Linked DNA regions of Mus musculus: regions 2, 3 and 4 are each reported to be linked to region 1. Evidence: microRNA targets listed by miRTarBase, many of them from high-throughput screens and not tested one by one. Region 1 holds a microRNA gene; each other region holds the end of a gene's coding sequence.
The links. The annotated mature microRNA mmu-miR-451a reads AAACCGUUACCAUUACUGAGUU and lies in region 1 at 928-949, shown strand. An mRNA with a match to its seed (bases 2 to 7 or 8) in the 3' UTR can be bound and repressed. Matches are read on the target gene's strand: a 7mer-m8 pairs with bases 2 to 8, a 7mer-A1 pairs with bases 2 to 7 and ends in A, and an 8mer does both.

Region 2: miRTarBase lists Lsm14a as a target of mmu-miR-451a. The part of its 3' UTR that is shown has no 7-base or 8-base seed match.
Region 3: the mRNA of Ik is a reported target of mmu-miR-451a. The part of its 3' UTR that is shown has no 7-base or 8-base seed match.
Region 4: miRTarBase lists Prkaa1 as a target of mmu-miR-451a. The part of its 3' UTR that is shown has no 7-base or 8-base seed match.

What each region holds. Positions count from the first base shown.
Region 1 is chr11:78,072,259-78,075,396 of GRCm38, forward strand. Mir451a (microRNA 451a) reads left to right here and starts at 912; the gene lies at 912-983. Eral1 (Era (G-protein)-like 1 (E. coli)) reads right to left here. Exons shown (of 10, transcript NM_022313.2): 7 at 3,133-3,138; 8 at 2,220-2,369; 9 at 2,022-2,102; 10 at 1,118-1,916. The coding sequence ends at 1,794. It overlaps Mir144 (microRNA 144), which reads left to right and starts at 747; the gene lies at 747-812. Mir451b (microRNA 451b) reads right to left here and starts at 983; the gene lies at 912-983.
Region 2 is chr7:34,345,097-34,348,234 of GRCm38, forward strand. Lsm14a (LSM14A mRNA processing body assembly factor) reads right to left here. Exons shown (of 11, transcript NM_025948.3): 10 at 2,830-2,886; 11 at 1-862. The coding sequence ends at 2,863. Among named protein-coding and RNA genes, the nearest start is that of Garre1, 33 kb to the left of the region's middle.
Region 3 is chr18:36,756,893-36,760,030 of GRCm38, forward strand. It overlaps Ik (IK cytokine), which reads left to right. Exons shown (of 20, transcript NM_011879.2): 18 at 1-38; 19 at 392-426; 20 at 515-747. The coding sequence ends at 542. Among named protein-coding and RNA genes, the nearest start is that of Wdr55, 1.8 kb to the right of the region's middle.
Region 4 is chr15:5,178,249-5,181,386 of GRCm38, reverse strand. It overlaps Prkaa1 (protein kinase, AMP-activated, alpha 1 catalytic subunit), which reads right to left. Exons shown (of 9, transcript NM_001013367.3): 9 at 1-2,699. The coding sequence ends at 2,455. Among named protein-coding and RNA genes, the nearest start is that of Ttc33, 5.7 kb to the left of the region's middle.

The sequences.
Region 1 (3,138 bases):
CCCACAACAAACTGGGACCTTTCAGCGAGGCCCGAACAACTAAGCCCTGAAGGACGTGGTGAGGGTCTTTCTCTTTCCTAGCCCAGTGGGGTAGGCAGGTAACCTTCTTTGTGGGGTTGGGGGTGAATGGTCACCCACTTAGAAGACGGGAGGCAGGGTGGCGGTGTAGTGTCAGTGTTGGGGTTCTTGGCTAGCATCTTCAGCCTTCAGTTTCATTCCCAGCACAGGAAACTAAGCAGAAGATAAACAAAAAGGGAGCCAAGCCTCAGCTTGTCTCAGGAAGCCAGCAGGCAAAGAGTTAAGAAGCAGGGACTTCTAGAACCCGGGAAAACGTGCCCCACCCAGGGGAGGGGCCAGAGGGTTAAAAGCCAAGCTGCTTGAGTGAGAAGAGACAAGGCAGGCTCTCCCTGTGCAGAGGATTCCCTGGACGAGGCTCCAGCTCCACTCCAGCTCCAGGTAAGCAGTCCTTGGAGTGGCTGTCAGCCTGCTTATAGGTCTGCCCAGAGGGAAGCTCCTGCCTCACAACTTCGTTTCTGCCTGTAACTCTGGATCCCTAAGAGACCCGAGTAGACCTTAGCTTCCTTCTCTAAGCCACCTGGGGTTATCCTGGACCACAGGATCAGGGAGATGCTGCTCTGGGAGGGAAGTGGAGGAGCAGAGGTAGGGACTTAGGTGTCCCTGACTGACCCTGAGCCAATCCCCTGGCTCACTCCAGGCCTGCTGCTCACCTCCTCCTCCAGGACCTTGGCTGGGATATCATCATATACTGTAAGTTTGTGATGAGACACTACAGTATAGATGATGTACTAGTCTGGGTACCCCACCTCCAGAGCCTGCCTGGTTTGCAGCAGAGATGCAGAAGTACACGGGCTCACTGCTCGGCCTAATCAAGCCTGCTGACAGCTGTGGCACTTGGGAATGGCGAGGAAACCGTTACCATTACTGAGTTTAGTAATGGTAACGGTTCTCTTGCTGCTCCCACAAACTGTGCCAAGAAGAGCTCATGACCCTGGAGCAGACTGCTGGAAGAAAAGGACACCCAGGCTGACAAGAGAATGGGGTTGGGGGAAAGGGTACATTTTCCTCTTCACTGTGCCAAAGAAATAAAAGATAAGAATAAGAGCACTTGTCATTTAACTTTATTAGCATCCGAGGCTGGGTGGTTGGATGGGATGGGAGGACCTTTGTGAGTTTAAAGCTAGCCTGATCTATGTAGAGATAGCCAGCCAGTCAGAGTTGTAGGGTAAGAACCCGGTCTCAAAAAAAAAAATAATAATAATAATAAAAGAAAAAGGAAACACGGGTCCTTATGCAACTTCAAGGTGAGGAACTTGGGGGAGAAGAGAAAAATTGTGTTCCTACCAACAACTGGAAACTCAGGGCAAGAGTTTGGTTCCAATGCTAGCGGGGTGGACATGACTTAGAACCATGGGTTCTAGGGTGTGGTTCAGCATGTATCCTATACAACTGACTGAGACCCTAGGCAGAGGAACGCCCCGAGAACTGAGCTAAGTGGAAACATGGTTGGGCAAGCACTGTGCAGACTCGGCAATGCCAGGCTGGCTGGCACAGGACCTTCACAGGACCAAGGGCCTCTCCTCCCATTGATGACCGACCGACTAGGCCATCCTCTGCTACATATGCAGCTGTAGCTATGGGTCCCTCACAATGGAAACCAGTCAGTGTCCATGGCCCTTCCCAGTCCTGTAGACCCCTCTGACAGGGGTAGTTCTAGTCAGTGACTCTGCCAGCAGCTTGAGCAGGGATCCACTGGGAGAAGCAACAGAGGATGGTCATTTGAGGAGTTTCACAGAGAGGCGGATGAGAACGTCACAGTGGAAGATGTCCATGAGGTCCCGGCCCACCTCCTGTGCAATCTGGGAGATCAAGAGGCCCTTCTGACCAATCAGGATCCTCTGCAAGTAGTGAAAAGAGAGGCACATGGTTCTGCTCTTGGCCTCACAGATGGGGAAGAGGCCATGGGTAACACTGCTACCCTTCTCTGAGCATCCCTCACTTACCACATGAGATTCTTTGGGCACCAGAAGGTTCTGTTGGATCACTAGCTCTCCACTTGGTCCTTCCTCCCATATCACTGTCTTCTGTATAAGGAGACATCAGGACTAATCAGGCAGGCTCATCTCTGTATCTCTTGGTACCCAACTGTTCCAGGGGTGTGCCTGGTATACAGGCACTGTGTCCTTTTCCTCTGCCCACACCTGCTGCACACCGTAGGGCACCTCCTCAGGCAGGTACTCTAAGAGCTTCTCTCTGATTTTATTGGCACAGATCTCTTCGGGTGTCTGGCTAGTGAGCACACCACTGTGGAACTCCCAGGGTCCTGGCTGGGCCTGTGTCAGAAGGTATTGCTGTGGGAACAAAGGAAGAGTAGGTTCTTAACCCCCATCAGAACATTTGTTTATGCATGCTTCTAGGAGGAAAAGGCTATGACCCATCCTCATGTAGCCCAAGCTGACCTTAAAATTACTACATAGTAGCTGACTACAGGGGCGAGCTGCCACAACTGACTGAAACACCTTTAAGAGAGCATCTCAGGCAGATCAAGCTGGCCTTGTCCATCCTCGTTTGTCCAGGCTGGGAATGAGCCTCCAATCTTCCTGTCTCTATCTCCTAAATGCTATAGTAGCAGGTGTGCACCCACGTGTGTGTCCAGCTTATGTGGGGCTAGATACTGAATCCAGCACACGAGACAAGCATTCTACCAACTGAGATACATTCCTAACTTTGTTTCTGGTCTCTATGTTGCTTGGCTGGCCTAGAACTCACAATGGAAACCAGGTTGACCTCAAACTGAGTAATCCTTCTACCTCTGCCTCCTGAGTGCTGGGATAACAGCTGTGTGCCACCACCCCTGGCTGTTTTCTGTTTCCTGAGACAGGGTCTCATTGTAACTGAAGCTATTCTTGAATTCACTATGTGGTTAAAAATGACCTTGAAATCCTGATTCTCTTGCCTTGGCCTTTCAAATTCGGGGATTACAAACATAAATGACCAGAGCCAGAGTTTTGTTTTGTCTTTTAAAAGACAGGATCTCGGTGGATATCAGGCTGGTCTGGATGAGGCCTATCGTAACATGGTAGAAGTGGTGGATTATGGGCAAGGCTAACTGACCTTCAA
Region 2 (3,138 bases), not on the chromosome of region 1:
TAGATAATGGAATAAAGTTATCAAATCTTCACTTTAGTCCAAACAGTACAAAGGAAATCAAAAACCTTAAGCCTGGAAAGCAAGGGGAAAGACCCACCCATATCCCTGCTCCTCAGCACACTGACTTCTGCAAGGACACGTATGTTTGCTGACTTTAAAACGTTTATTCTTTAAAAAATTAGTTGCTTTTTATACAGCTATACAAAGTTCTTAATGTTTCTTTGGCAATGGAATATAATGGAATTTTACAACTATATAAAAAAGTTACCTTTGCCTAAGAAACAGTATTTACCTGTGTGTACATAGTTGACTGACAAAATTCTCTACCATCCAGCACCCTAATTAAGTGTCGAAATAAGCTACCTCATATTATAGGATCTCCAAAAAGAAAAAGACACGCACATACACGCGCGCGCGCACACACACATACATACACACACACACGCACAAAACCTTCTGTGGCTCAAAACACAGTATCACGGCCTATCTGCAGGCAATTGGAAGTAATTGCCGAATACAATTAATTAGTGATAAGAAAATCCTTTCAGTGATGAAAAAATACTTAGCAGTTCCATTTAGCTGGCTTTAGTTCAACTCTAAACAAGGAATCACAACCATCTGCTACTCCACATACACTTATACTTGTGTTTTAAGACGAGCCTTCCTGCCCCAAAGCAACTGCAGTGTAGCTTTGAAATGAAGCAGAAAACAGACAAAACCCAGTGCTGGTGACAGGCAAGACAGCAACTTCACTTCTTCATTCTTCACAAAGACTGAAAGCACTTTCCAGGACCATGAAGAGCTAGGAGTCACCTATTTTCAAAGACTTGTTTGTAGACTATGCAGCAACTTTGTTGTCTTTCTAAAAAGGAAAAGACGTATTAGTTCATGTTCCAAGCCATGGCTCTTCCTTAGTCTGCTTAAGTTTACTTCTGTTACCTTAATACACCCTTCCTCTTATTTCACAGAAAAAATTTCTGTCCTACTGTCCTACTGGTTCTTGGGCAGCACTGCTCTAATGTCCACATTCAACTCTCTGCTTACTCTCTGTATGTCCTAGTCAGCAGAGGCTGCAGGAGTGGCTGGCCTATCAAGCAGGCACGCCACTCTGCAATACGGGGAGACCTTACTACCTTTGGTTGCCCCAACATTATAAACACAACAGTTACATGAGCTGTCACATGGTCACTCAAAAACTCTTTTGAAACAAGTTTCATAAAATCCCTAAATTTTGACACCTTTTACCAAGCAATACAACAATCCAGAAGGTAAAGTAGTATTTCTCCCTAAAATTGCATGATAGGAGAAAGCAGTATTGGACTTGAAATATATTTAAAAAAAAAACAAACTTTAAAATATATTTAGCTTGTTTCGCTTGTATTATCTGTGTGTATGTCTGTTTTCGCAGAGGCCAGGAGAAGGTACTGGGTCCCTGGAGCTGGAGGTACAGGTGGTGTAAGAGATCCGAGCAGCCCAATACGAGTACTGGAACCCACACTTGGGTCTTCTGCAAGAGCAGCAAGCACTCTGAACTGTTAAGCTTTATCTCTACCTCCCCAAAATACTTCCTCCTAAAGGGTTAAGATGTACCTTACTTCGCAAGCCTTAACCTAGCATGCAGGAAGCCCTTGGCTTTATCTCCACCATCATGTAAGTTGTGGTGGCGCATGCCTCTATGGACATGTAGTCAAGAGAAAAATTCAGTCATCCTTTGTTACACAGCAAGCTCTAGGCCATTTTAAGCCATATAAGATCAGGCCTTAAAAAAAAATCTTTGTAAGCTAATAAAAATTAAAAAACAAAACAAAACTCTTAAATTTGAAATAAGTTTGAAAAACAATTTTAACTGGGAAAATTAAACACCATAACCAATAAGAAATACAAACTAGCTCTGAAGGAGGTTCCAGTGAGATCAACCCTAAACTCAAAGTTTACTTTGTAGCCAGGGACTTCTGTTTCCTCTCAGACACGCAGTTACTACATAGTCCATTCATTCCCTTTATCTTTTCAGGTGTGGATAAAAACTACACATGAGTGTTTATGTGTCTACATGTGTAGGAAACATGTTGAAATCTCTTTGTACTTATGCTCTTTAGGGTCTAACCACTATCTGCATACTATCACCCTGCATGGCTGTATTACATCATCTGCAGGTTATAATAACTATCTGCATACTATCACCCTGCATGGCTGTATTACAAGTCATCTGCAGGTTATAATAACTATCTGCATACTATCACCCTGCATGGCTGTATTACGTCATCTGCAGGTTAGATACAGCTTAGCTTGTGGAGCATAAGTGAAGCTCCATGTTCAATCCCTAGCGTCCACAAACAGGTAAGAGGATATGATGGGTTCTATGTAAATACAGTATCTAGGGACTTGAGCATGAATGGATTTTGGGATTTATAGGGATTTTGGAGCCAATCCCCCTCATACACAGAATGATGGCCATACCTATCCCCCCCACCCCCCGCCTCCCCAAGAGACAGGGTTTTTCTGTGTAACTGCCCTGGCTGACCTGGAATTCAGAAATTCTTCTGCCTCTGCCTCCCAACTGTTGGGATTAAAGGTGTGTACAACCACACCCTGTACCACATCTAATTTTTACAGATGTACATCCCAGTTACAGGAGGTCAGCTACTTCCTAGTTGAAAAACTTCCTCTGAGGGTACAATACCAAACTGTGTGTTCTGTTACTTTAAACTGAAACACACATGGCAACGTACAAGCTGGTCTAGAAACAAGTACCAAACTAAAGATAGCCCTCTGTCCCCACCAAACCAACCTTCACACCTCCCAATTTCTTTCTTTCTTTTCTTTTTTTACCTTTCAGAAAGCAGTATGACCAATCCAGACCTTTTAGGGTCCAAAAGCCGTGGTTTTCTGAAAGGTTAAAAAAAAAGATAGGAGAAAGACAGGGAGAGAAAGGGGGTAAGGGAGGGAGAAGAAAATAAAAGGGGAAGGAAAGAGACTGAGTCATTTCAGATTCTTCCCACACCCGCCCAAATTTAAAAACAGAAACAAAAAAACCTCCATATATATCATTTGTCTCTCTGTGTATGCATGCCTGTGGAAGCCAGAGGACTGCCTGGCACTGGAGTTACAGGCAGATATGACATGGGTGTTGGTAACCAA
Region 3 (3,138 bases), not on the chromosome of region 1:
AGGCAGAGCTTGATCGACAGTGGAAGAAAATAAGTGCAGTTAGTAGACTCTTTCTTTCCTTTTTTCTTTCTTTTTTGTTGTTGTTTTGTTTTTTCGAGATGGTTTCTGTGTGTAGTCTTGGCTGTCCTGGAACTCACTCTGTAGATCAAGCTGTCCTTGAACTCAGGAATCTGCCTGCCTCTGCCTCCTGAGTATTTGGATTAAAGGCGTGCGTCACCACCGGCATAGTGGACTCTTTCTTAGGTGGGAGGGTTTCAGTTGAGAAGAGACATTGACAGATCCAGGAATAGGTGGTGGAGCAGTCATGGAAACTGAGAGAGGTCATCTTTGAGCTTTAGGTGGACTTAGATCACTAACAGCATGCGTATAAACTACTGCTGTCCTTTTACAGATCATTGAGAAGAGGAAGAGGATGGAAGCAGATGGGTAAGCGGCATCCCTCTTTGTCTTTGGGCCTGGTGAGAACTGTTCAGGATACTGATCCTATGCTGATCTACTTCTCTTTTGATTTCAGGGTCGAAGTGAAAAGACCAAAGTACTAATCTCTAGTTCCAGCTGTCACCACGTGGCTGTTCTTAGTTGCTTGCTTCTACAATTCCTCAGACGGTTGCAAACTGTTGTTGTTTGTGAAAGTTTATAAATGTTTATTGTATAACTCTTTATAGATCTGTGTCCCACATGCTAAGATTAATGGCAATGCAACACCATGTCCAGCATGTTCCATTAAATGTAGTTAAACCTGCTGTCTTTTCTGTGTTGGGCATTCCTTCTTAAGGGTCCCATGAAGTTCCGGAGTTCCAGAAGTTGTATTGAATGTTAGGTCTCATCTGAGGTGCCTATCAGCATATCAGAGCTGACGTTGGCTGCCAGTTCTCCCAACATACCTCAGTCCCTACCTGTTCCAGGATCCTCCTGGTGTCATACCCTACCGTTTACCTTTACCCTCAACTCCTGGGCTTCCCTTTCTTTCAGCTTCTCTGATTCTTATATAACCCATCCATTTTGGTTACAACTCTTTTTGGCCACTTGGCAGCTGAACCAGGTAACTCCCTCCCTCCTGTCACCTCCTTACATGGCCTGGGTTAGGATCTTGTTCATTTCACCCTTCCAAATGCCTCTGGCATGCTCTTCCCTCATCTACACTAAACCTCCACCGTATCTAGGAACAGTCAAGTCAAGTGTTTTCATTTCTTCTTTTCATTGAGTCTGCTGTGTTTTTCCTGTACTGATTGAACTAAGGCTGTTTACTAAGCCAGTTTCAGGGGAGAAGGGAAGAAAGAGTCACTGGTGGGCAAGAGAATCATCAAGTTGAATGGCCAGACCTATCTGGCCAGGGTCCTAATCCAAGAGTAGAGATTCTCTGTGGATTAAGATCATCCTGATAGCTTGTCACAGCTCCATAGGCTTGATCAAGCTCTTAATGAAGCTGTATTAATGAAATTCACCTGTGGAAACAAAATCCTTTCATGAATTTATGCCTTTTGAAGAGCACTAATAGTGTTGAGTTAAACTCAAGACCTTGGCTAAACACCTAGAGTCAAGATTAAGAGACTAATGGGTGGTAGGTACCTTGAGGATCCTTTTGATCCTTCACCCTGAGGAGTTTGTCAAGGCCCAGGGTAGGTCTACTAATAGTCTCCTTTCTGCTCTTTGCCAGCACTTTGGTCTGGGGTTCATTAGGTATTCATTAGGCGCTCTACTTTTTATGGCTGAATACTGAGCTCATGATCTGTAGATCCAAAGGAAGCTAGAATGCCACTAGGCTTACTTTGGTCATTTTCATCTTGATAGGAAAGGGTATTTTTGTTTTGGTGGTGTTGCACATCAAACTCAGCTCTGCATGCGAGACACGCACTCTACCACTGAAGCCCCAGCTGTAGGAAAGTGCTTTTTAAGGAACCCCACTTTGCCAGTAACGCTTAAGAGGTAAAAAAATGGGCTGTCTCTTCAACAGTACTTAGAGATGGCTTTAAACAAATGATGTCTTGGTCCCATGGTTGTAGGCCACAGTTCTAATTAGGAAAAAGTCACAGAGACATGATTCATATGGACACCTAGAGTCAAAATTAAGATCTGAGGGTTGACTATCAATTTAATATTGTTTCTGCAAGTACTCTTAATGCTCCAATCACGAGGCAGATAGAGCATTTCTGCTCTTTGAAACCCTTAACCTCACCTTATGTTCATTTTTTTATTTTCCTTTTCAATGGGTTCTCACTATATCTAGCTGGCCTAGAATTATCAAAAGAGCCTCTGTACTCCCACACCCGCAAGTAAAAGTGTTCCTTACCATGTTCAGCTCGCCTCACTTTTTAAGCTTTAGGTTCTCCATATGCCTTTGAAGGCATAGTTGCACAGAAATCTGAGCAGGCCCTTCTCAGCCTGTCACAGGGACTGCCCCACCATGCAAAACACTGTTATTATTGGGACCTTTGATAAAAGGAATACCCAGAACATAGCTGTCATGCTTGTTTTCCTGGTAGCCTAAGTACAATTTGGTCATGAGCTAAACTACAAATGTTCACTGTTTCTCTGGAGGCTAGAAGATGTTGGTGTGGGTAACAGTTTGAGCATGTGTGCAGGCCGCCTCCTGTTGATGGTCCCTGTCTATTAACTTTAGGGATATGTGGATTTCTGTTCCTTCTTGTGCAACCTGTCTGCTGCTAGCCTGGGTTTTAGGTATCACCAAGTCAGGAATAACTCAGATCTCTTAGTTCGGTTACGATAGGACTGGGTGGAGAGACGAATTAAGGGTGTTTCCAAATATGTGAAGCGGCTTGGGGGAGAGGGCAGGCCTTGAAGGTCACATAATCTAGCTGCTCGAAGCACAGGCTACTGTAGGTCAAGTAAAATGGGTCGGGGTGGGGGGTGAAGGAGCAAGATGGCATAGCCAATAAATTGGTAGTAGAGCAAACTTTTAGATTGGAGTTTAATCCCTTGAGTGTACGTAAGGGTGGAAGGAGAGAAGCAACTCCATAAGGTTGATCTCCGACACTCGCGCCGTGACGGGCGTGGAATTCATATCACACGAAAAAACCTGGCTGGGGGCCGGCGGAAGGGCATCCTCTGAAACCACACCTATACGTTCTGCAGTGCCTTTCTTCCTTAGCTCCTTTTTCTCTTGGCCTTTGTGTTTAA
Region 4 (3,138 bases), not on the chromosome of region 1:
GTTATATTTAAAACTATGTATACAGTACTTTTCTGTCAAAAACATCACACAGCTTTCAGTTGTCAAGACAAAGTAAAAATATGGTTGCATAAAATCACAAGAAAATATAAATTGCTGAAAAGATAATAAAAAAAAGATTAAAAATCATTTGCATTGACTCCCTTTACATTTTCAGTGTAAGAATTTGCAAACTACAATACATTTGTGAAAATCCTGTCCTGGGCTTGACATACTTAACTGAAAGTTGTCATTTCAGATATCCTAGCTTTTAAAAAATTTGACTGCAATAGTCTGCATTTATCATACTATTTATACAAGTGCAATATTTTAATGTCTTCAAAATAAAACTCGGTAACTAAAAGGAATCACAGAATAACTTATAAAAGAAGCAAAGATTACAAAATTAACAAATTTTAGAAGGTCCTATTTAGTTGGCTCCTCCTTTTGTGCCCCGTCCCCCCAACAGTTTATAGAGATATTCCTCAGTTTTATTTACAAATCTATAACTTTACAAATGCAGCCTTCTGTTCTACACAGCGGGAATACAGCGCTGCATTCAGACAGCATACGTGACATCAGGGAGCCCCACACAGAGGGCACAAACACACAGGTATAAATACAGTCAGGAACTCAGGTAAATGGAGTCTCCATTACTTTATACAGCATTCAATTCGGAGTTGAATAAAACAAGCCCCGAACAAAAAGAAGCATCATTTTTGTCCGGAAATCAGTGCATAAACTATAGCGTCATCTTTTATGCAAGCTATCATGTCCTCCAAATGCGTTCTTACATAAGTGCTGGACAGGTTTGGGGATGGGGCAAAATATTTTTAAATGAATGCAGTGGGGGGAAAAGTCTCTCTTACAAAGGGGGGATGGTTAATGTTTAAAGAAAATGCATTTTGTTTCACGTTGCTGGAGATGACCCAGCCTCACCACTGGGCTAGAGCCTCTGACCAATTTCCTAAACTTAAAGGAAACCAAATATGGCCAATATGACATTAATTATTAGCTCACACAATACCGGCTTTGTCTAGCGTGACTTAAATCTTCACTTACACCCATTATGCTATGCTACCACTAAAAGGAGAGAGGCATATAAATCAGAGATTGAAGAAAAATCACACTTCTTTAGCCACTCATTATTTTGAATTAAAACCTGAAATAAACTTGGCCAGTTTGAAGAAAGGATTTCTTCTACATCTTTTCAAAATAGTGTTATTAACCTGATTAAAGAACTGCAAATAAAATCAGGCTGTAACTTAAATGGAATTCTGGGCAGTTACAGCTAATCTGGAAAACCAGGCACTATCTGGAAATTATTGATTTTATAATGGTTTCAGAAGGTTTCTAAAGGACATTATTATTATTTTTAGGAAGTGCTGAAGTATTCAGGGCTGGTATATATATATATATATATATACCTTAACATCTCAGTGGTTCAGAATAAAAGCAAACATATACTCGAATATATGTGCATATCTGTATATTATACATGTGTGGATCTAGAGAGCAAATATGGCCAAACAGTAGTTGTAGGAGCTAAGTAGTAAATACACATGCAGTCACTAAATTCTTGCAACTTTTCTTTCTTTAAAAATTGTCCAGAATAAAATCAGGGGCTAAAACCCCAATCCTAGCATTCAGAGCGTATAAACACTGTCCTTTCTATGCACTGGATTGGCTTAGAAAATACCAAAGACATTCAACACTGGCTGACATGATAGCGTCTCTGTGCACTGACAGAAGCAACACGATTCACTACAGTGTGAGCAACTCGGCTCTTGGATCCAAAGCAGCACTTCATATATAAAAGGGCAAACCTGAAAAAGTAAATTCAGGGCTTGGAGGGTCTGAACATATAAATTCTGGGGCTTTGGGGGCTCACAAGCCAAAGAAAAATGTTAAATCCAGACTGCTCTCTGAAATGACTTACTACACAAAAATAGCATGTTAAGAGGAATATGGAAATAGTTCACAATGTAACCAAAAATGGAAACTAGTAGCTATTTTGGAAGTTAAGGAGCCCAGAAAACAGCATTATCTAATAAGGTCTATGAGGATTCCAGGCAACTCAATAAATTCATGAAGCTAATATAAAATACATCAACATGTACTAATATGTGAAGGCTTTATGGTAAATTTATGGTCGACTGAGACCTGTTACAGCAAATTCAAATGGCCAAAAGTCAAGTAAGCTTGAGACCTACAGTCCATTGTGTGTGTGTTACGCTGTGTGTACCTACTGAATACGGGATAACAGAGTGATCCTCATTCAATTCTGCACATCAGGCTTTTAACGATCAATCGTTTTCCAGTCCCTGTGCAAACTGCATTCCAAAAGGCCAATCCTCAGTTATATACACACATATATATAACTTGGTAAGTGGAAGTATTTGGCTATTATTTATTATGCATGCTTATTGCATCAAAGAAATAAGCAAAATTTTAGGTTTACTGTGCAAGAATTTTAATTAGATTTGCACACATTTCAAAAAATTCTATTGTATGACTTCCTGGTCTTGGAGCTACGTCGACAGGGGAGGAGTCGAGGGAGGTGACAGATGAGGTAAGGGAGACGTCTGAGGGCTTTCCTTGAGCTTCGGCATCAGAGTCACTCCTTTGGCAAGATCGATAGTTGCTGATGGATCCCGATCTCTGTGGAGTAGCAGTCCCTGATTTGGCTTCTGTAATCTCATCTGGGTGGAAAGAATTTCAATGTTTTATTATCTATTTCTCCCTCAAGTGTTTAAGCAGCACCTAAGTGAGACTACTAACCAGTTCTCCAAAGCACACTGGTTTTATTTACATTCTCAAATAGAGCAAGCGTGCCTTTGTAAAGCACCTTACCACTTCTACACACAGCACAAAAAATACATACAATGGCCAGTCAACATGGGATACATAGTATAGCACTCTTGACTTTCACACCAACTAAGAAACAGTAAACTAATAACCTGTAAATTAATATCACTGCTAGGAGATATTTATTAAAACCACAGACTCACTGGGTAGTGGCAAGCACACCTTTAGTCCCATCAATTAGGAGGCAAAGACAACTCTGGGAGTTTGAGGCCAGCCTGGTCTACAGAATGAGTTCCAGGACAGCCAGAGCTACACAGAAACCCTGTCTCAAAA